Canis lupus familiaris: one gene and its partner. The protein of the gene in region 2 interacts with the protein of the main gene of each other region in a pairwise test. Links are inferred from orthologs where the notes say so. Each region holds a gene or a part of one and is shown on either strand. Other genes may lie near its edges.

Region 1 (4,426 bases), on a different chromosome or scaffold from region 2:
TCATGAACAAATCAGCCAGAACTACGAGGTTTTTAGGGTCCCCTGCTGTAAAACAAAGGACAGCAATTTGGAAAGACCGTTCAAAACCGTTTTGTTCTGCCTTCAAAATTGCAGATGCATAGTTTATTAAAGACAGAAGGGAGGGCCAGGGGTTGTTTCAGCGATCAGCGATTTATTTTAAATCTACTTTTTTCCTCCTATTTACTGTCTGCTAATGCTAAGGACACACTCTTGAACCGTTAAGTCGCTTACGAAGCGTACTTCCGGGTCACTGCCTAGCCAGGTCTTCGGTCATGCGAGCAGAACACGCCCGGCCGCTAGACTTCTCTTTCTTCCCTTTGCAAAACGAAACGGGCCGGAACGTGTTCACGTGATGCGAGTGACGTCAGCCCCAGCCAGGTCGCGTGACCGACACCCAACCTGCCCAGCAGCCGCCCCCGCCCCCGCCCCCGGCCCCCGCCCCCGCCGCCCGGGCCGGAGATCTCGCGAGAAGCCGCCTTACTATCAGAACTTCCTGAGCTTACGCGGGAGTTACTCTGAAGGGAGGGTGTGGCTCGCTCCTCGCTCGCTCGGGGAGTGTTTGCTTTCATTCTAGCCTTCGGCAAAGGCTGAAGCGAAGGCCTGGGGCGGGGGTTGTCTGTCAAGAGTTTGAGCGACCCGGCCTGGAAAACGGCGCGGGGGCACGTGGGCAGTGAGGTGCAGTCGCCTCACACGTGAAACGTGGCGCACGGCGGGCAGCGCCCCTCGCTAAGCCGGCTGCGGGCGGCGGCGCGGCTTCTGCAGGCCGGGCCCGGAGTCCCCGGGGGCTGTGGGAGGCCGGGACCCCGGGCGGGACGCGGCCGACTGCCCACCTCCGGCCCCCGCGGTGTCGACCCCGAGCGGAGCCGAGCGGACGCGGCCGCGGCCGCGCACGTCGCCCTCCCCCCGGGGGCACCCCCCGGCCGGCCCGCGGCTCGCCCCGCGTCGTTCCGCCGCATCCAGCCCCAGTGTCGGCAGCCGCCTGACCGCGAGGTCACCTGGGCGGCTCGCCGTGTCGCCTCACTCGCCTAAACCCTCGCCGGGCTGCTCGTTCGTACATCCTCCGCCCCCCCCGCCCCCCCCGGCCCCCCGACGGGTGTGCGCGAGCGTGAGACCCGGGGCGGAGAGCGAGGTCCGCGAAGGCGCCGGGCTGGGAGTCGCTAGAGGGAGGTGTGGGACCGGCGAGGAGGGGGCTCCGCGGAGGGAGCGCGGGGGAGGGGAGGGGAGGCGAGGGGAGGAGGCGGAGGCCCAGGCCCGCGGAGGGCCGCCCGGGCTTCGCCCCATCCGAGCGCTCTTCCTCTCGCCGCGCAGCCGCGCAGCCTCGCAGCGGAGCGGCGCGGGCCCCAGGGGCAGCGCCAGGCAGCCGAGGCGCCCGCGGGAGGCAGGCGGGCCCCGGGCGCGCACGCTCGGCCGAGCCCCGGCGCGCCCCGCGCCCCCCGCGCCCCCCGCGCCCCGCGCCCCGCGCCCCGCGCCCCCCGCGCCCGCTGACAGCTGCAGCTGGGCTCGCGCTGTCCGCTCCCGGCTCCTCGGCCTCCGCCCCCTCGGGCTCCCTCCCCTCCAGCCCGGTGCGGCTAGTTTCGCAACTGCTCGCCTCTCGCCCCGTGCCCGGCTGTTTTCCATTTCCCGGCCCCTTCTTCCCGAGTACTTCGCCCCCGGCATTTGGGGGAGAGGGGCTGGGAAGGGGCGGGTGGAGCGTCCCGCGGAGAAGGAAGCACGGGCCGGAGGAGGAGGAGGAGGAGGAGGAGGAGGAGAATCGGCGGGCCGTGGGGAGGAGACCCCACGCCACCCTTTCTGGTCATCTCCCCTCGCGCCCCGCCCCTGCGCACACTCCCTCCCGGGCGAGCTACTTTCGGACGAGGAAAGTGAGGGCGGCCCTGGGTGGCAGCGCCGCGGGGCCAGTCCCGGGGAAGCCGCGCGTCTGTTGGAGTCGCGTCCGCCGGCTCTCCCAGCCAGGGGCATAGCCCGCACCGAGAGGATGGCTTCGACCGCAACCTGCACCAGGTTCACGGACGAGTATCAGCTTTTCGAGGAGCTCGGAAAGTAAGCGCCTTTGCCCGCGTCCGCACGTCCCCTTCCCAGCAGAGGGGCGGGTAGCGTTCCCCGACCCACCGGCCTCCCGCGCGGGGCGAGGGAGCTGGGGAGACCCGAGGAGTGGGAGGAGGGCCAGTGGCGTGGCCGGCTCTGAGCAAGGTGCTGCTCTAGCAAGAGGAGGGGGACCGAGACTGGAAAAGACCCTCCACCCCGCTTGTGTGGCCCATTCCGATAATCCTCAACCCACCTTCTCCCGCCCACCCCCCCCCACCCCAACCCTCTTGCACTAGAGACTTAGTGGATTTACGATCCCTGCAGTTGTAGCTGTCATCCTGAGAAGTGTGCGAGCGTGCGTGTGTGTGTGTGTGTGTGTGGAGAGAAAACAAGAACCCGTGTAAAATGCAACATAGATCGTGTTTTCTGTAAATAGAGATGCCTCCTGGTTAGCCGGCGTGTCGCCCGTACGACCCACGTACGAACGAGAACTCCCTGCCACAGACGGTGCCATATTTATTGATGCCGAAAGTTCAACTTGGCGTGGAGTCTATTTCACGTCCAGTAGTTGTTCTGTCCAGGAAGAGGGTCACCAAAGGAACTCGACCCCCTGCCCCATATCCACTACCCTTTGCACCTAGATTATTCGCTCATCATCATCCTTCCTAGGATTTACGTGTACATCTTCGCATTCTCTGGGAGGATTTATTTATACAGGCGACGGAAAAGACCTGGAGACCGAGAGAAAGCTTGCCAAGGGTAGCCTAGCGTCCTATAAAAACGACCTCCCACGCCCCGACTGGCGGAACTCCTCGGAGAATTTAAGGAAGGGGACCAGAGACCTCCTGAGGACCTGTGTGCTTAGGGACCCAGGGGCCAAACCGTGAATGTTGGTTTATGTAGCATCCCACCCAAACCCTATTCCTCTATCGCTAGTGCCGACTATTACTTACGAAAGGGGTGCGTTTATGTGTATGTATGTATGTATGTTTTATACAATTGAATTCAAGAAACTGTAATTATCTTTTAAACGTAATGACAAGTATATCCTTACATATTTATATGTTGTCTGCTGTTAAAACATGGAGACTATGTCGGAAGAGCAGCTTAATTCAAATCTCACCCTTCCCCCAGCTCAAAAGAGGGCACAGAGAAATCACCGTATCAGGACTTATTAAACCACACAAATGTTCCCAAGATTTCTATTTTAGTGAAAACAATCGCCATATTTACTTGGAGCCACATTAATTTTTTTTTTCTAATAAATAGGCAGCAGATTTTTGCTGCTCCTCCTCAGCCATGCTCTTTGCAGGTTTTTTTTTTTTTTTTTTTCCCTTCTCAGAGCATTTGGTACTATGTGAGTGTGAATTGTAAAATGTTTTCAAATTTCCTGGGCAAACAAGAGCCGTCATAATTGGCAGTTTCTTTCATTATGTTGATTAATAATGTGTGCTCCCAGTTAAATAAAATTTACTTTTATTCTTCAACATTAAAGAAGGCTTGGGTTCCCAGGAAGAATCGTTCATTTTCTGATATTACTGTAGCGCATTGATATTTTACAAATCACTAAATGCAGTAAAAATGCTCAGATTGCTGTGATTTTTAATAGGATATCAGAGCTGATTATATTGATGACATGCTAATTATTGGTTTTCAGGGGGGCTTTCTCAGTGGTGAGAAGATGTATGAAAATCCCTACTGGACAAGAATATGCTGCCAAAATTATCAACACCAAAAAGCTTTCTGCTAGGGGTGGGTATTTTCAACCACATAATACAGTATATGTTAATTATGTATTTGTCATGTTGATTGTTCTGTTGTCTGTAAATATATAGTTATAATTGAACTGTAGACTTAGGTGTCCTCTTACATTTTTGCAGTTACTTCCTTCTTGAATGCCTCTTGGTATGTATAGTTTAAAAGTTAAGTGAAGACATAGAATTTTAACAACAAATTATTAAATCATTCCAACTGTCCTGTGAGCAGCAGCATATGTAACTATTTTACAGCAAATAAGTTGTCCCTTAGTGCGTCTTGCTTTTAGCTCTGCTGTGAAACAACTTTCAGAAATACCCTGGAATGGAAAAATGTCTCACAACTGTCATTATTCTCTTTTGCTTTTAAGAGGAAAAATAGGTCATAGCTCAGTTGAATCATATTTCAATTGTAGTTACACTTGAACTTAATTTATCAAGGTATATTTAACAGTAATAGCTTTGGGAGGAAAAAATTTATCATTGCTATATTCTAGGAAGTTCAGCTTGATTTTGAGGTTTCCGTGTGTGCAGTCCAGACCTATACTGGGTCTTCCGCATTAAGGCTTCTCGCCGACTCCTGTAATGTATTTTACACATGCTTTATAGCCACGGAGATAATTCCTATC
Region 2 (4,360 bases):
CCACGGGGACAATGCTCAGGGCATCGGTTCCACTGACGGATGGCATCCATTACCAAGAGAGGCAGCAGAGCAGAAAGACAAGAACGGGCTCTGTAATTCCTGCTCACAAGGAGCAACTTGCCACAAAGGTGATCTCTGCTCATCCCATTAAATTAATTTTTAATTGCATATAACAATCCCACAAGAAAGAAAATATGACACAGACAAGATACTTTGCAAATTTCTGGGAGACTGATAGGATCTAATGGAGGCAAAGGAAACCACAATCTGGGGCATACAGGAGTGGGTACAGCCAAAGTGGGTAAGCCTGTGGCAGGCCAGAACACTCAGCAGAGCACAGGCCGTTTCTGCTCACACCCTCCCTAGACCAGGTAGACCAATCCCAAATCAAAGGGATCTGGTCTTAAGCTGTAAGACCCACAGAAAAAGTCTCTGCAATCTGGCACTCAAAGTCCCACACAGTAACAAGTTCCCAATGACTTGAGGGGAGACCCACACATTTTCAAAACCAGCCCCACAGACTCAGAGCTCTCTGCCCATTTCCTCTTGCTTTAAACAACAATTACCAATATTTAAGGAATATTTGCCACATGAAGTATGAAGCCAATATTTTTTAAAAGGCAACAATGGCACTAGAGGAAATAAGAAATCAAAGAACAAAAGAATTGAAAAAAATCCCATGTTGGTATCCTCAAAATCAAGAATATGTTCACAAGTAGCTACTGGGGGGGGGGGGGGGGCGGGGAGAACACATAAGTTTTTGATCAATTTTCAACTGTGGAAATAAAAAATTTTAAACAGGATTGGAAGATAACTTGAAGCCCTCTCCCAAAAAAGAGAAGAAAATGACAAAAGAGGATAAAGACACAAGATTCAGTGGGTCAATCCAAGATGTCCATCATCAAAATAAAAGAGTAAATGCAGGGGAAATTGTCAGATACAAGAGGATTTCCCAGAGCTGAAGGGCAAGCGCCCAGAAGCACTGAACATCCACAGTGAGACTCCACATCCTAGGGCACTCTGGAAATGTCCTAACACCAAAGCGGATTGTAAGGAGTTACTCAAAACGAATAAGACTATTTGGCAGAAATGATATTGAAATGAAGAAAGCCAAGATTAAAACATGGAATCCTGTACAAACTGGGATGTATAATAAAGGAAAATATCAGAAGAATACTTGTACTGGCCTGAGTAATCAATCCAGATTAGAAAAAGAGGACAGAGGGCTGAGGAGGATGGGGGGGAGGGAGGAGTGGGGAGTTGGAGAGATGACCTTATCCCTTGATAATTTACAACGTAAAGAGTCAATGGGAACAGAGAATGCAAAGAAAAAGAAAGGCCACTACAAACAACAGAAAAAAACAGAAAGCTGTAGAAGTGAAAAACAGTATTTGCTCGGTCTTAAACAATCTGAGTCAAGTGAACACAGTGAATTAAGGGGATAGAAAAGGTGGGATATGATAGGAAGGGCTCAATCATCGTATGATAACAGAATGTCAACAATGTGTAAGACTAATAAAATACCAAGGTACTCTCCAGAGCTACGGAGACCTTCCCCAAGAGCAAAAAGATGTTAAGTCTTTGAGGAGTAAGACGGGGCTGTTGCTCTTCAACCTAAGTTTTCCCCTGAGGGTTTACCGTGTGCATGACTGCTAGATGTATTATTATTTAAGAGCACGGACCTCGGAGAGAGGAGTTCAAGGCCTTGGCTCCCCGCGTCTTGGACGAGTGTCCTAACCCCGGTGGCCGGTCACCTCTCTAGATGGCTGCGATGAGAAGCCCTGGGAGTGGTCCGCAGGCCCAGCCACAGCACAGAGCGCGGGCACGGCAGCCACTTCCAGACCCTAAGGCCACGGGATGTCCACGGAATCCAACATCCTGAGCACATGTTCTCACTTTAGTGCAACACAAGGGAGAACGAAGCTAAACAGAGACGACTCATCTCGGGGGCTGTTCCGCGGTCTCCCCGCCGCTAGATCCTCCAGATCCTCTAGATCCTCGTATGCAGGGCGGTCCGGAAGCGGAGTAATGGGCGGGCGGTCCCCCGGGTCCCTCACCTGGGGCGACCCCTGGACTACCCCGACCTTGGCGAGGCCGGGGGGTGCAGCCGGTGCAGAGGGCGCCAGGGGCGGCCAGCCCCGAGCCCCCCGAGCCCCCCGGCAGCCCCCGAGCCCCCGCGTCCTCGAGGAGCGCCCGGTGCAGGGCGCCCACCGGGGGCGGGGCGGGGCGGGGGTCTCGAGGCAAACCCCAGGCCGCACTCCCCAAGCCTGAGCGCTCCCCTCCCCTCCCCTCCCCTCCCCGTGAGCCCTCGGCCCCGCGGGGCGGGCACACCGGGCGCAGGGCGGCCTGCCCGCGGGCCCCGGGCGCCGACTGACAGGGGAGGCCTGTGCCCGGGTCCGTCCGGGGCGCGGCGCGGGGCCCTCGCGGGGGGCGGGGGCGGCTGGCGGGGGCGGCGGCGGCGGCGGCGGCCGGGGGAGCCAGAGCGGGCGGGGAGGGCGCCGGGAGCGGGGCGCGCCGGCGGGGCCGAAGGCGGCGGGCCGTTGGGCGGCCGCGCAGGGCGTCCCGGGCGGGGGCGGCGGGCGCGGGCGCGGCGGCCGGAGGAGGGCGCAGGGAGGAGGGAGGAGGGGAGATCTCGCTCTCGCTCTCGCTCTCGCCCCGCGGGAAGGGGGAGGTGGAGACGCGACCGGCTGCGGGAGCTGCAATTACCGTGTGGGCTGCGGAATTCTCGTGGTGTTTGTCGGGGAGATGCGATAATGGCGTCCGTCCTCGCGAGAGAAGCCGCCGCTCTGCGCAGGCGCCGCGAGTCCCTCCCCGCGGCCCTCCGCCCCGCCCCGTCTGCGCAGGCTCCTCACGCGGGGCGCGCCGGGCCCGGGGACCGGGCCAGGGGGCGGGGCCTGCCGCTCCAGGCCTCCCGCGCGCGCCTTCGCCGGCGCCGGCGACCGCCGAGCATGCGCACGCGTCGTCCGGCCGCGCCACGGTTGGGGCCTGGAATCTTTCCTTTCCCGGCGCGCGCTCCGTCTCCTCGCTAGCCCCGTGAGAAGTCGCGTCGGTGGACCGCGAGAGGAATTTACGTTTCTTCAGAGGCTGAATGAATAGGAATTAGGTGCGCGCGACGACTACATATCCCGGAGGGCTCTGCGCGAGCCGCGAGCTGAGGTTCCTGGGAATCGTAGTCCCGGCGTGTGCGCCAAGCCTGCTGGTACTTGTAGTCTCTCCGGACTCCGGCCTCCCGTCGGCGCCCGCGCCCGCCACTGCTGGGACTTGTAGTTGGAGACGGGGGGCCTGAGGCCGCTGCGACTCCGAAGGGGTGCCCCCGAGTAATAGCTGGTGCTCCGGGTCCCCGGAGTCTGACCACACTTCCCAGGGCTCACGCGTGGGGGAAAATGTGTGTTCGTGGTGTGACCTGTCCCGTGTGGAAGTAATCTCTGTGTGTGCGTATGTACACGAACATGCGGTGTGCATGTGGCTGTGTTACACGTGTGTAGCATAAGTGCTGGTCTGTTGGTGCTCGTGGGGAAAAACCACTGGCTGTACACACCATCCGGCAATGTTACTCCTGCTCACTGGTATCACTGTTGCTCTTCTTGTGCGTTGGGGTTACCCTGCTTTTTGTTTTCTTCTTTACACTTGCCTTTGTTTTCTGAGTTGTTTACAACGGGCAAGAATTTCTTCGGTCGTCCAAAAACAAGACTGTGGAGCTATTTTCATTTGGAAAAGAAAATGCTCTACTGTTTCTGTAACTTTCCTGCCTACTTCCCTTTTTGCCGATGATAAAAACCTGATTCTTGGAGGCAGTAACGAGCTGCTTGCCCTTGGGCAACCTTGCTAGTAATAGTCTCTTCCAGAATGCACACTTGGGGGATCTACCGAGGCTGATCTTTGGCTTAGCTTTACAGGAAAGGTGCCTTGAAGAAATTACAGAGAACAATCACAGAAGATCGGTGCTGGAAAAGATGCTCGCATTGAAATGAGAATTGTCCTGGGAGGAAGGGAAATTGCTCAGCAAGGTCACACTGCTGGAAGAAGACAAAACCAGGGTTTAGAAACCAAAACACTCTGGTCTAGAGTGTGCTCATAGTGGGGAAGAGGATGGCAGAAGCTAAACGTGCAAATCCTGAGAGATAAGTGAGGGCAATGTCTTCTATCCCCACCTCTGCCTCAACCGTAGCCAAAACTAAACACTTAACTAAGAATTCTTAACATGGACATGCAAATATCTGAGTACAGAGTAGATAAATGTAGACTGATCTTTTTGTTTTTGTTTTGTTTTTTTGTTTTGTTTTGTTTTTTGTAGACTGATCTTTTTCATGTTATTTCAAAATCTCAACAAAGCTTTTGTCTGTAGCTCTGTTGTGGATAT

The links. The genes of interacting proteins can lie anywhere in the genome.
Region 1: the proteins of BANP (region 2) and CAMK2D interact in binary tests that used the Homo sapiens proteins (3 or more experiments, as listed by UniProt). The two-hybrid records come from large-scale screens. The link is inferred for Canis lupus familiaris from reciprocal best matches to the Homo sapiens genes BANP and CAMK2D.

The regions. Positions count from the first base shown.
Region 1 is NC_049253.1:6,361,287-6,365,712, forward strand, and holds the start of CAMK2D (calcium/calmodulin-dependent protein kinase type II subunit delta), read left to right. Parts: upstream 1-1,504; 5' UTR 1,505-1,993; coding exon 1,994-2,058; intron 2,059-3,700; coding exon 3,701-3,795; intron 3,796-4,426. UniProt on the Homo sapiens protein: Calcium/calmodulin-dependent protein kinase involved in the regulation of Ca(2+) homeostatis and excitation-contraction coupling (ECC) in heart by targeting ion channels, transporters and accessory proteins involved in Ca(2+) influx into the myocyte, Ca(2+) release from the sarcoplasmic reticulum (SR), SR Ca(2+) uptake and Na(+) and K(+) channel transport.
Region 2 is NC_049226.1:65,737,994-65,742,353, forward strand, and holds the start of BANP (protein BANP), read right to left. Parts: upstream 2,831-4,360; 5' UTR 2,707-2,830; intron 2,106-2,706; exon of another isoform or gene 1,683-2,105; intron 1-1,682. UniProt on the Homo sapiens protein: Controls V(D)J recombination during T-cell development by repressing T-cell receptor (TCR) beta enhancer function. Binds to scaffold/matrix attachment region beta (S/MARbeta), an ATC-rich DNA sequence located upstream of the TCR beta enhancer.